Macaca fascicularis: one gene and its partner. The protein of the gene in region 1 purifies or fractionates together with the protein of each later gene. This does not show direct contact. Links are inferred from orthologs where the notes say so. Each region holds a gene or a part of one and is shown on either strand. Other genes may lie near its edges.

Region 1 (4,268 bases):
AAAAATGCAGTGCCCTGTTTTTATAATTGTTAAGGATTTTAGGAGATGACAGAAGAGAATAAAACCCTGGGCATGGGACCCTGTGCAGCTGCACAGACTGCATACCTACGGAGCCAGCCCTGCATTTGATAGCCGTCAGATATAAAGGCTGACTTCTATTTATATATGCAGCTTTCAGTCAATTGCATGAATGTGTAAATTGCCAAAGAGAAATGTGATGGTCAGGTCTTTACTGTGAGTAAAGGACCAGGAACAGGACCAAAGTTTGAAAGGACTAAAGAAAGTCCCTTCTGACATTACAGCTCTATGTCTCTTGGTTATCTTCAGCCCATTCTCCCTTCAGTTCCTAAAGAAAACCGTAGGATAGAATTATATCCTATAACTATAGGTCATATAGGTAACAGGAGGATATGACTTATGTGATATATGTTCTGCTTGTAAAAATAATGTCAGGTATTTATCAGGGACTGCAGGGTGGGCCTTCTTCCTCTCCTAGATGAAGAACTGAGGTTCAGAGAGCTAATTATGGACGAGGCAGCTGGGATCCAAGTTCTTCATCACTCTTGTCCGCTGCCTGTCTCATAGGATTCCAGTTGATCCTGCAAGACAAGAGTAGCTTACAAAGGGTTTGCATATACCTTAATCTCATATCTCATTCCCAGTAGCACCCTTGTGAAATTGGCAGTGTTATCCCCAATTTACACACAAGGAAACAGAACTTCAGAGAAGTTGTGTCATGTTGCAAGGTCTTAAGATAGCAAATGGCAGAGCTAAAACTAAAGTCTGCTTTTTAAGTCATGAGTTCAGCCATGTTTTCTCTGCTCCCTACTTTGGGGACCCAGCTACTTCCCCTACATATGCCATTCCTTTTCCATCTAACTCTATTGGTTTAATTCTTTTCCAGTAGACTTTGTTTAACAGATGTTGCATTTCCCAAAGGAAAAGTGAATCTCCTCTACACTCTAAATAGCTAAAAGAATTATTGATGAAAGGACTTCAATTCCCTATAGAATTTTAGTTCTAGAAGCATATCTGAATAATGTAGGGGTTTACTTGAGTGAAGTTAGAGGTAATTGAGGAAGTGGAGGAGGAAGCTGTCAAGAGTCAAAGTTCTTTCAAAGATGACTCCAACTTCTACAATTGACCTTGTTAGAAACAAGAAAATGAGGCCTAGCTATTGGGCCAGGACAGCTCAGGAATTACATGTTCCACTGGGAGAGGTTTCCTGTACCTGTGTGACTATGAAATGCTACAGCTTACTTTCATGCATATGGCTGGTGTGACTCAGTTACTTATTTTAATAAGAGAGTTGATTTCCTTTGTTTATAGGCTGACAGTGAAAAACAGAATGATAGTTCGACTTAAGAATGAGGGCTTGTTCTCAGTACAGAAACAGAAGTAGCCTAGATCAAGAAGTACAGACCACTGCTTTGTACAATGGTCTCCAAACTTTGGTCACTTCATCAGGAAATAGTATGAGCACTTCTCTCCATACATAGTTATTTGCAAAGTATGCATGCTTCTGCTATTGTACTCTAAAACGTGCTGTATAAAATATATACAAAAAGGTCCAAAAAATGAGAAAAAGTAAATAGAAATAGGAAGTCTAATATTCTTTTTGCCTCCCCAGTGAATTGTCTTGTTCACTTCACTTTAGAAAACACTGCTTTCTGTGTTTTTGTTTTTGGGTTTTTTTGAGACAGTCTTTCTCTGTCACCAAGGCTGGAGTGCAGTGGTGCAGTCTCGGCTCACTGCAGTCTCTGCCTACTCAGTTCAAGTGATTTTCCTGCCTCAGCCTCCTGAGTAGCTGGGATTACAAGTGTGCACCACCACGCCCAGCTAATTTTTGTATTTTTAGTAGAGATGGGGTTTTGCCGTGTTGGCCAGGCTGGTCTCACTCTCCTGACCTGAAGTAATCCACCTGCCTCAGCCTCTCAAACTGCTGGGATTACAGGAATGAGCCACCACACCCAGCCAGAAAACACTGCTTTCTAAAGAATATGCATCTAGCCAGAACTTTGTGTTTTGACATTTTCAATTAAAAATGAAATTATAATTATATACCTGACATTAACTTAATGATCATCATTTTCTTTCATACAGCCTTTATCAATTCTAAAAAACTATTTTCTTTCATCTAAGTCACAATCAGTTGGGAATTTATTAAAATGCAAATTAATGGGCCCCACCAGAGAGCTACAAAATAAGAAATTCCTGTGGGAGGAGCCCATACAGCCTGTGTTTTTAACTAGCCTGTGTTTTTAACCAGATGATTGTGATGTACGCTTAAGTTTTAGAACCCCCATCTGTGGCCTGTTGCTATGGTATGCACCTGTAGTCCTGGCTACTTAGGTGGCTGAGGTGGGAAGATAGCTTAAGCCAGGAGTTTGAGACCAACCTGGGCAACATAGTTAGACCCCACCTGGGTGATTAGGTCAATTGAATCTGACTTTTGTCGACAAATTCATCTAATATGTTTTTTTTTTAATGCACAAAATGTCAAAGTTGAGATTTAATGATGCCTTTTACAATTTCAGGATTTACTTCAGATGCAGTATGAAGGAGTAGCTGTAATGAAAATGTTTGATAAGGTTAAAGTGAATGTAAACCTTCTCATATACCTGCTGAACAAGAAATTCTATGGAAAGTGAAGTGCCTGCAGAAATGTCATGGATTCTGTATCATCTGGATTAGGAAATGAATTTGTTTAATATTTTTGTTTTTAAACATGATTGAAATCACTGCTTATAAATGTGTGATTTTTTTTTTTTAATGACCAAAACTGTTCTGAAGAATGTACCCAGGTGCCTTTTTGCTAATCTGATACTATAATAGAATGAGACATAAAATGAATTAATGGAAACATATCCACGCTGTACTGTGGTATAGGTACTCTGATTGAAAACTTTGGACATCGTGTGATCTGTTTTAAAGTTGCGGGGTGGGGAATTTAGCTGACTAGGGACAAACATGTAAACCTATTTTCCTATGAAAACATTTTAAATGTCCCACTTGAATAATGTAATTCTTTATAGTTTTTTTTAATCTATGGATAAATGGAAACCTAATTGTAATGAATTATTTAGACAGTTTTAAGCCCTGTCTTCTGGGAGTTATCAATTTTAAAGAGAACTTTTGTGCAATTCAAATGAACTTTTTATAGGTAATTGAAAATGACAACACAATAACACTTTCTGTATAAAAGTATATATTTTATGTGATTTATTCCTACTAAATGAAAGTGCACTACTGCCTCATGTAAAGACTCTTGCACGCAGAGCCTTTAAATGACTAAGGAACAACATAGATAGTGAGCATAGTCCCCGCCTCCACCCCTCACAATTTATTTGAATACTTCAATTGTGCCTCTCAACTTTTTGTAATGCTAAAAAATCAGTATCTAGATGGTTTTTAAACGTATTATCTGGAAATTGTTTTATGTAAAATAAATGTTACTTAATTCCATTAATTTGGCTTTTAAGTTGTCTTAAAGTCATTTAGTGGGTAGGGGAAGATTCTTGGTAGGATTTGTCAGGAAATAATGCATTTCTTGCTGTACTGGTTAAAGTATAGAGCAAGCTGCTGTGAGGAAAAGATGCAAAACCCTGGTGTCTAAAACAAGGAGTAGAAGTTCGTTTTTCTCAAATTCAGCTCAAAGGTGAGCAGATCCACAAGGTAAAGAGTTTCAGGCAGGTCAGTTGGCTCTGTCCTCGTACTGATTCCCCCCAGCCGGATGAGGGAGAGGATGGTGAAGAAGTCCAGGGCAAGCCTTTTCAGTTATATGCATCACTTTCACTTCCACTTACATCATATTGGCCAAAACTGAGTCACATGGACACAGCTAGCTAAAGATAGTCCCTAACTAGGCAGCCATGTAGCCAGTGAATAGAGAGAGCTAGGGAGGGAATTGGGTCTGTTATTAAACGGAAGAAAAGGAGTGTGATTCCTGCCAACACTTTAGGAGTCTCCACCACAATAGGATTCCAGACGCTCAGGCCGGAACCTCCCTGCCACTTTGTTCATGCCTGCAACAGTCTTTATTTTTTCACAAATTGCAAAATATTGAGAAGGTAGGTTAGTTTATGCACATGTGGCACAAATGAACTTGAAGTGTAAGACCAACAGAATTTGGAAAATTCAAATTAAAAAAAGTAGAATCTGCTACTTTAGTGATGGTTTCAGGCTATATATATTTTTTGACAAAGAGATGAATAGCTTAAAACAATGCTCACTATCTCAACTGTTTGTGGGTATGTATAATAGTTTCT
Region 2 (4,478 bases), on another chromosome or scaffold:
ATTGCGCCACTGCACTCCAGAACTGGCGACAGAGCGAGACTCTGTCTCAAAAAAAACAAAACAAAACTGTGCTTGATCAAATGCTCATAACTAATTAAAAAAAAAAACACAGACTGAAAACTCAAGGCCACAGGTTTTTAAACCTAATACTCCCTCACAGAGCCTCTGTAGTAGAAACCGCAGTAACAGTACCAGGCACTTACTAAGCACTCAGCAAGGGGCACCTGCAAAGTAGTTAACCAACATCTTGTTTACTCTTGTTGACCTCCCACTGAACCACCTCTCCTGGGAGGTGGGGGATGTGCTTAGGGTTACCCCATGTAAGCGGTGGAGTGGGTATTTGAAGGGAGGGTCCAGATTCCAGGATAGGCATTCGACAAGTTATCTGACTAGATAAAACAGCCAATTCAAACGGCAGAGGTCCTTAATCGGTTAGTATTAAATAAACGTATCTGCTATGCTTATGTTTTAGTTTCAGCATTTTTCAAATAATTATCAGCAATATGACTTATAAAAAAAAAAAACAGGCCGAGGCGGGGGGATCACTTGAGGTCAGGAGTTTGAGACCATCCTGGCCAACATGGCGAAACTCTATCTCTACCAAAAAAATAAAAAATAAATAAATAAAATTAGCTGGGTGTGGTGATGTGTGCCTGTAATCCCAGGTACTTGGGAGGCTGAGGCATGAGAATTGCTTGAACCCGGGAGGCAGAGGTTGCAGGAACAGAGAGAGCGCCATTGCACTCCAGGCTGGGCAACAGAGTGAGACCCTGTCTCAAAAAAAAAAAAAAAAGAAAGAAAGAAAAAAAAAATTGGGCTGGGCGCGGTGGCTCACACCTGTAATCCCAACACTCTGGGAGGCCCAGGCGGGTGGATCACCTGAGGTCAGGAGTTCGAGACCAGCCTGGCCAACATGGTGAAACCCCGTTTCTACTAAAAAATACAAAAATTAGCCTGGCACGGTGGCGCATGCCTATAATCCCAACTACTAGGGAGGCTGAGGCAGGAGGATCGCTTGAACCTGGGAGGCGGAGGTTGCAGTGAGCCGCAATTGTGCCACTGCACTCCAGCCTGGGCAATAGAATGAGATTCCGTCTCAAAAAAAAAAAAAAAAAAAAAAACCCTTGGATAGCCTACATACTCTTAAATAAGTGAAAGTTAGAATTTTTAGTTATTATATAAACAGAATTATGAGGCATTAATATTATTTCACATTTCCAAGACAAATATGACAGATGGGCATCTTACAAAAATCAGTTGTCTAATTATCCTTCTTGCATCTGAATTGCAAGAACCAAAATCTGTCCTAATGACAAGTTTGAAGAATATCAACCAGTTAACCGTGATGCCAGAGCTTGCCTTGGACTTTACTGGAACATGTACCAGTTGCACTGAGTTTTATTAAACTGGTAGTAATTCTTCCTTGCTAACACTAACCTATACAAGCAACGCTGAGACGCGCGATTTTGCTTGGGTTACACTGAGATTCTTGTTTCTATGGGAGAAAAAAACTGCATAAGACAAGTCTTGTCTTCCTCCAGGGCCTGTAACCACCACAGACAGTCATGAAAAGCAATGCCTGGAGTCACAGGGGGCCAGTTCTGCTACATCCCATACCTAACGCGTTAAGCAAAGAACAGTTTATCAATGACCACACCACGTTAAAAAAAAAAAAAAAAAAAAAAGAAAGAAAGAAAGAAAAGAAAAAACAGTGCCCCTTACAGCCGGCTCCTCCCAGCCAGCATCTTAAAAACTTTCTCCACGGAATACGCGAAAACAACAATTTTAAGAATCCTAACAGTGGCAGAAGTGTAAGTTGAAAAATCCTGCTCGAAAATAAGTTTAGAAGCCGGGCGCGGTGTCACCCCAGCACTTTTGGAGGCTGAGAGGCAGGAGGATCACTTGAGCGCAGCAATTCGAGACCAGCCTGGACAACACAGCGAGACCCCCAACCCCCATTTCTACAAAAAGTTTTAAAGATTAGCCAGGCGTGGTGGCACACGCCTGTAATCCCAGCATTTCTGGGAGGCTGGGATGGGAGGATCGCCTGAACCCAGGAGTTCGAGACCGGCCTGTGCAACACAGCGAGAACCGGTCTATGAAAAAAAATATGTTTTTCTAAAGAAAAGTTTGGGGGCACCAAAGAGGCCCGCACAATCAAGCATGCATCAAATATCGACTTGACCGCCGCGTTCCCAACACAGCTCTCAAGGCGAATTGAGAGGTTCATGCAAAAAACAAGAAAGAGTCCCTTTTTGGAAAAATGGTCAAAATCTCCAAGAGCGCTTCCTCTACGAGCGCTCCCGAGGAGGGCGGCGGGCGGCGTCCGGGAAGAAAGCCGGAGGGTGGAGTTCACTTTTCCCTCCGGCCGGCGAGCGGCAAGGCCCTCCTCCATCCAGAGCCGGAACCTGGCACGCGCCGCCCGGGAAGTCAGGGTCCAGTGGGGGCGCCAGCCCGCGGCCCCCGCCCCGCGATACAGGCCCAGGCCCACCGCCTACGCGAGCCCGCAGCGAGCGGCCTGCCTGCCTGGGTCTCAGTCCGGGCCAGACCCCCGCCCGCGCCCGACCCCGCCGTCCCCAGTCCGGCCCCGGCCGCGCACTCACCCGTCTCCCACCACCACACACTTGATGGCCTGCATCTGGGCCGCTCGCTGGGCCGCGGCGGCGGCGGCAGGGCGCTGAGATAGGAAGCGGCGGGCTCGGGGCGCGGCGGACGAGCGCGCGGCTTGAGGGCGGCGGGGCGCTGGGTGCCGGGGCCGCTGTCCACGCCGCCTCGCCCTCCGCGGACTGGAAGCTCAAGCCCGGCAGCGGCCACCACCCAAAGCTCAGGAAAACTGCAGAGAAACAGGAAATGGCCGCTCCACTCACATCCGGCCTCCCCTCCCCCGCGCCGGCGTCGCCGCTCCCAGGTTCCGGGCGGGGCCGCTCCCGCCCGCGCCGCTCCCGGAGTTTCTCTGGACTTCGGGAATGCTCGGAAGCGCTCGGGACCGCTCGGCTCCGACCGCGGGGCGCGGCGGCCGCCATCTTGGCGCGCTAAGGAGGCCTGGGCGTGGCCGGACCTGCAGGTCCTTTCCCTGGGGTTCACGGTTTAGGCTTTAAGAGGAACCTGTCAGTCGGGCGCGGTGGCTCACGCCTGTAATCCCAGCACTTTGGGAGGCCGAGGAGGGAGGATCACAAGGTCAAGAGATTGAGACCATCCTGGCCAACATGGTGAAACCCCGTCTGTACTAAAAATACAAAAATTAGCCGGGCGTGGAGGCGCGCACCTGTAGTCCCAGCTACTCAGGAAGCTGAGGCAGGAGAATTGCTTGAACCTGGGAGGCGGTGGTTGCAGTGAGCTGAGAGGGCGCCACTACACTCTAGCCTGGAGTCAGAGCCAGACTCCGTCTCAAAAAAAAGGAACCTGTGGTGGCTGGGCGCCGTGGCTCACCTCTCGCCTGTAATCTCAGCACTTTGGTTGGGAGGCCGAGGCGGGTGGATCACAAGTTCAGGAGTTCGAGACCAGTCTCATCAACGTGGTGAAACCCCATCTCTACTAAAAAAAATACAAAATGGTGGCTCACGCCTGTAATCCCAGCACTTTGGGAAACTGAAACAGGTGGATCACGAGGTCAGGAGTTCAAGACCAGCCTGGCCAACATGGTGAAACCCCATCTCTACTAAAAATAACAAATAAAAAAAGTAGCTGGGCATGGTGGCGTGTGCCTGTAATCCCAGCTTCTCGGGAGGCTGAGGCAGGAGAATTGCTTGAACCGGGACCCAGGAGGTGGAGGTTGCAGCAAGCTGATATGGCGCCACTACACTCCAGCCTGGGATACCGACCGAGACTCCGTCTCAAAAAATAAATAAATAAAAAATACAAAAATTAACCGGATGTGGTGGCAGGCACCTTTAATCCCAACTACTTGGGAGGCTGAAACAGGAGAACCGCTTGAACCCAGAAGGCAGAGGTTGCAGTGAGCCGAGATCGTACCACTGCACTCCAGCCTGGGAAACAGAGTGAGAGTCCGTCTTAAAAAAAAAAAAGAGGGACTGTGGTTGCAGGAGCCACGCTCCCTGTCACTAACTCCTGCTCGGGGCCATCGGAGGGCACTGCTTTCCACCCCCCGTTTCGTTATCTTCATGTAATAACTATGTGCAATGACATTAGGTCCTTTTAGGAAATTCAGAATCTAAAACTATAAGGAAGAATAAAATCATACACCATACCTTTATTCAGCAATAACCATGTCCATTCAGTCAAAAAAATGTGTTGCCGGCCGGGCGTGGTGGCTCACACCTGTAATCCCAGCACTTTTTGAGGCAAAGCTGGGCGGATCCACGTGAGGTCAGGAGTTCGAGATCAGCCTGGCCAATGTGGTGAATCCCCGTTTCTACTAAAAACACAAAAAAATTAGCCGTGCATGGCAGCGGATGCCTGTAATCCCAGCTACTCGGGAGGGTGAGGCATGAGAATCGCTTGAACCCGGGAGGTGGAGG

The links.
Region 2: the proteins of IQGAP2 (region 1) and RAC1 purify together in Homo sapiens (affinity purification with mass spectrometry; 5 studies listed by BioGRID and IntAct, with this or other methods). This does not show direct contact. The link is inferred for Macaca fascicularis from reciprocal best matches to the Homo sapiens genes IQGAP2 and RAC1.

The regions. Positions count from the first base shown.
Region 1 is NC_088380.1:80,676,192-80,680,459, forward strand, and holds the end of IQGAP2 (ras GTPase-activating-like protein IQGAP2), read left to right. Parts: intron 1-2,537; coding exon 2,538-2,651; 3' UTR 2,652-3,469; downstream 3,470-4,268. UniProt on the Homo sapiens protein: Binds to activated CDC42 and RAC1 but does not seem to stimulate their GTPase activity. Associates with calmodulin.
Region 2 is NC_088377.1:45,992,303-45,996,780, forward strand, and holds the start of RAC1 (ras-related C3 botulinum toxin substrate 1), read right to left. Parts: upstream 2,846-4,478; 5' UTR 2,639-2,845; coding exon 2,604-2,638; intron 1-2,603. UniProt on the Homo sapiens protein: Plasma membrane-associated small GTPase which cycles between active GTP-bound and inactive GDP-bound states.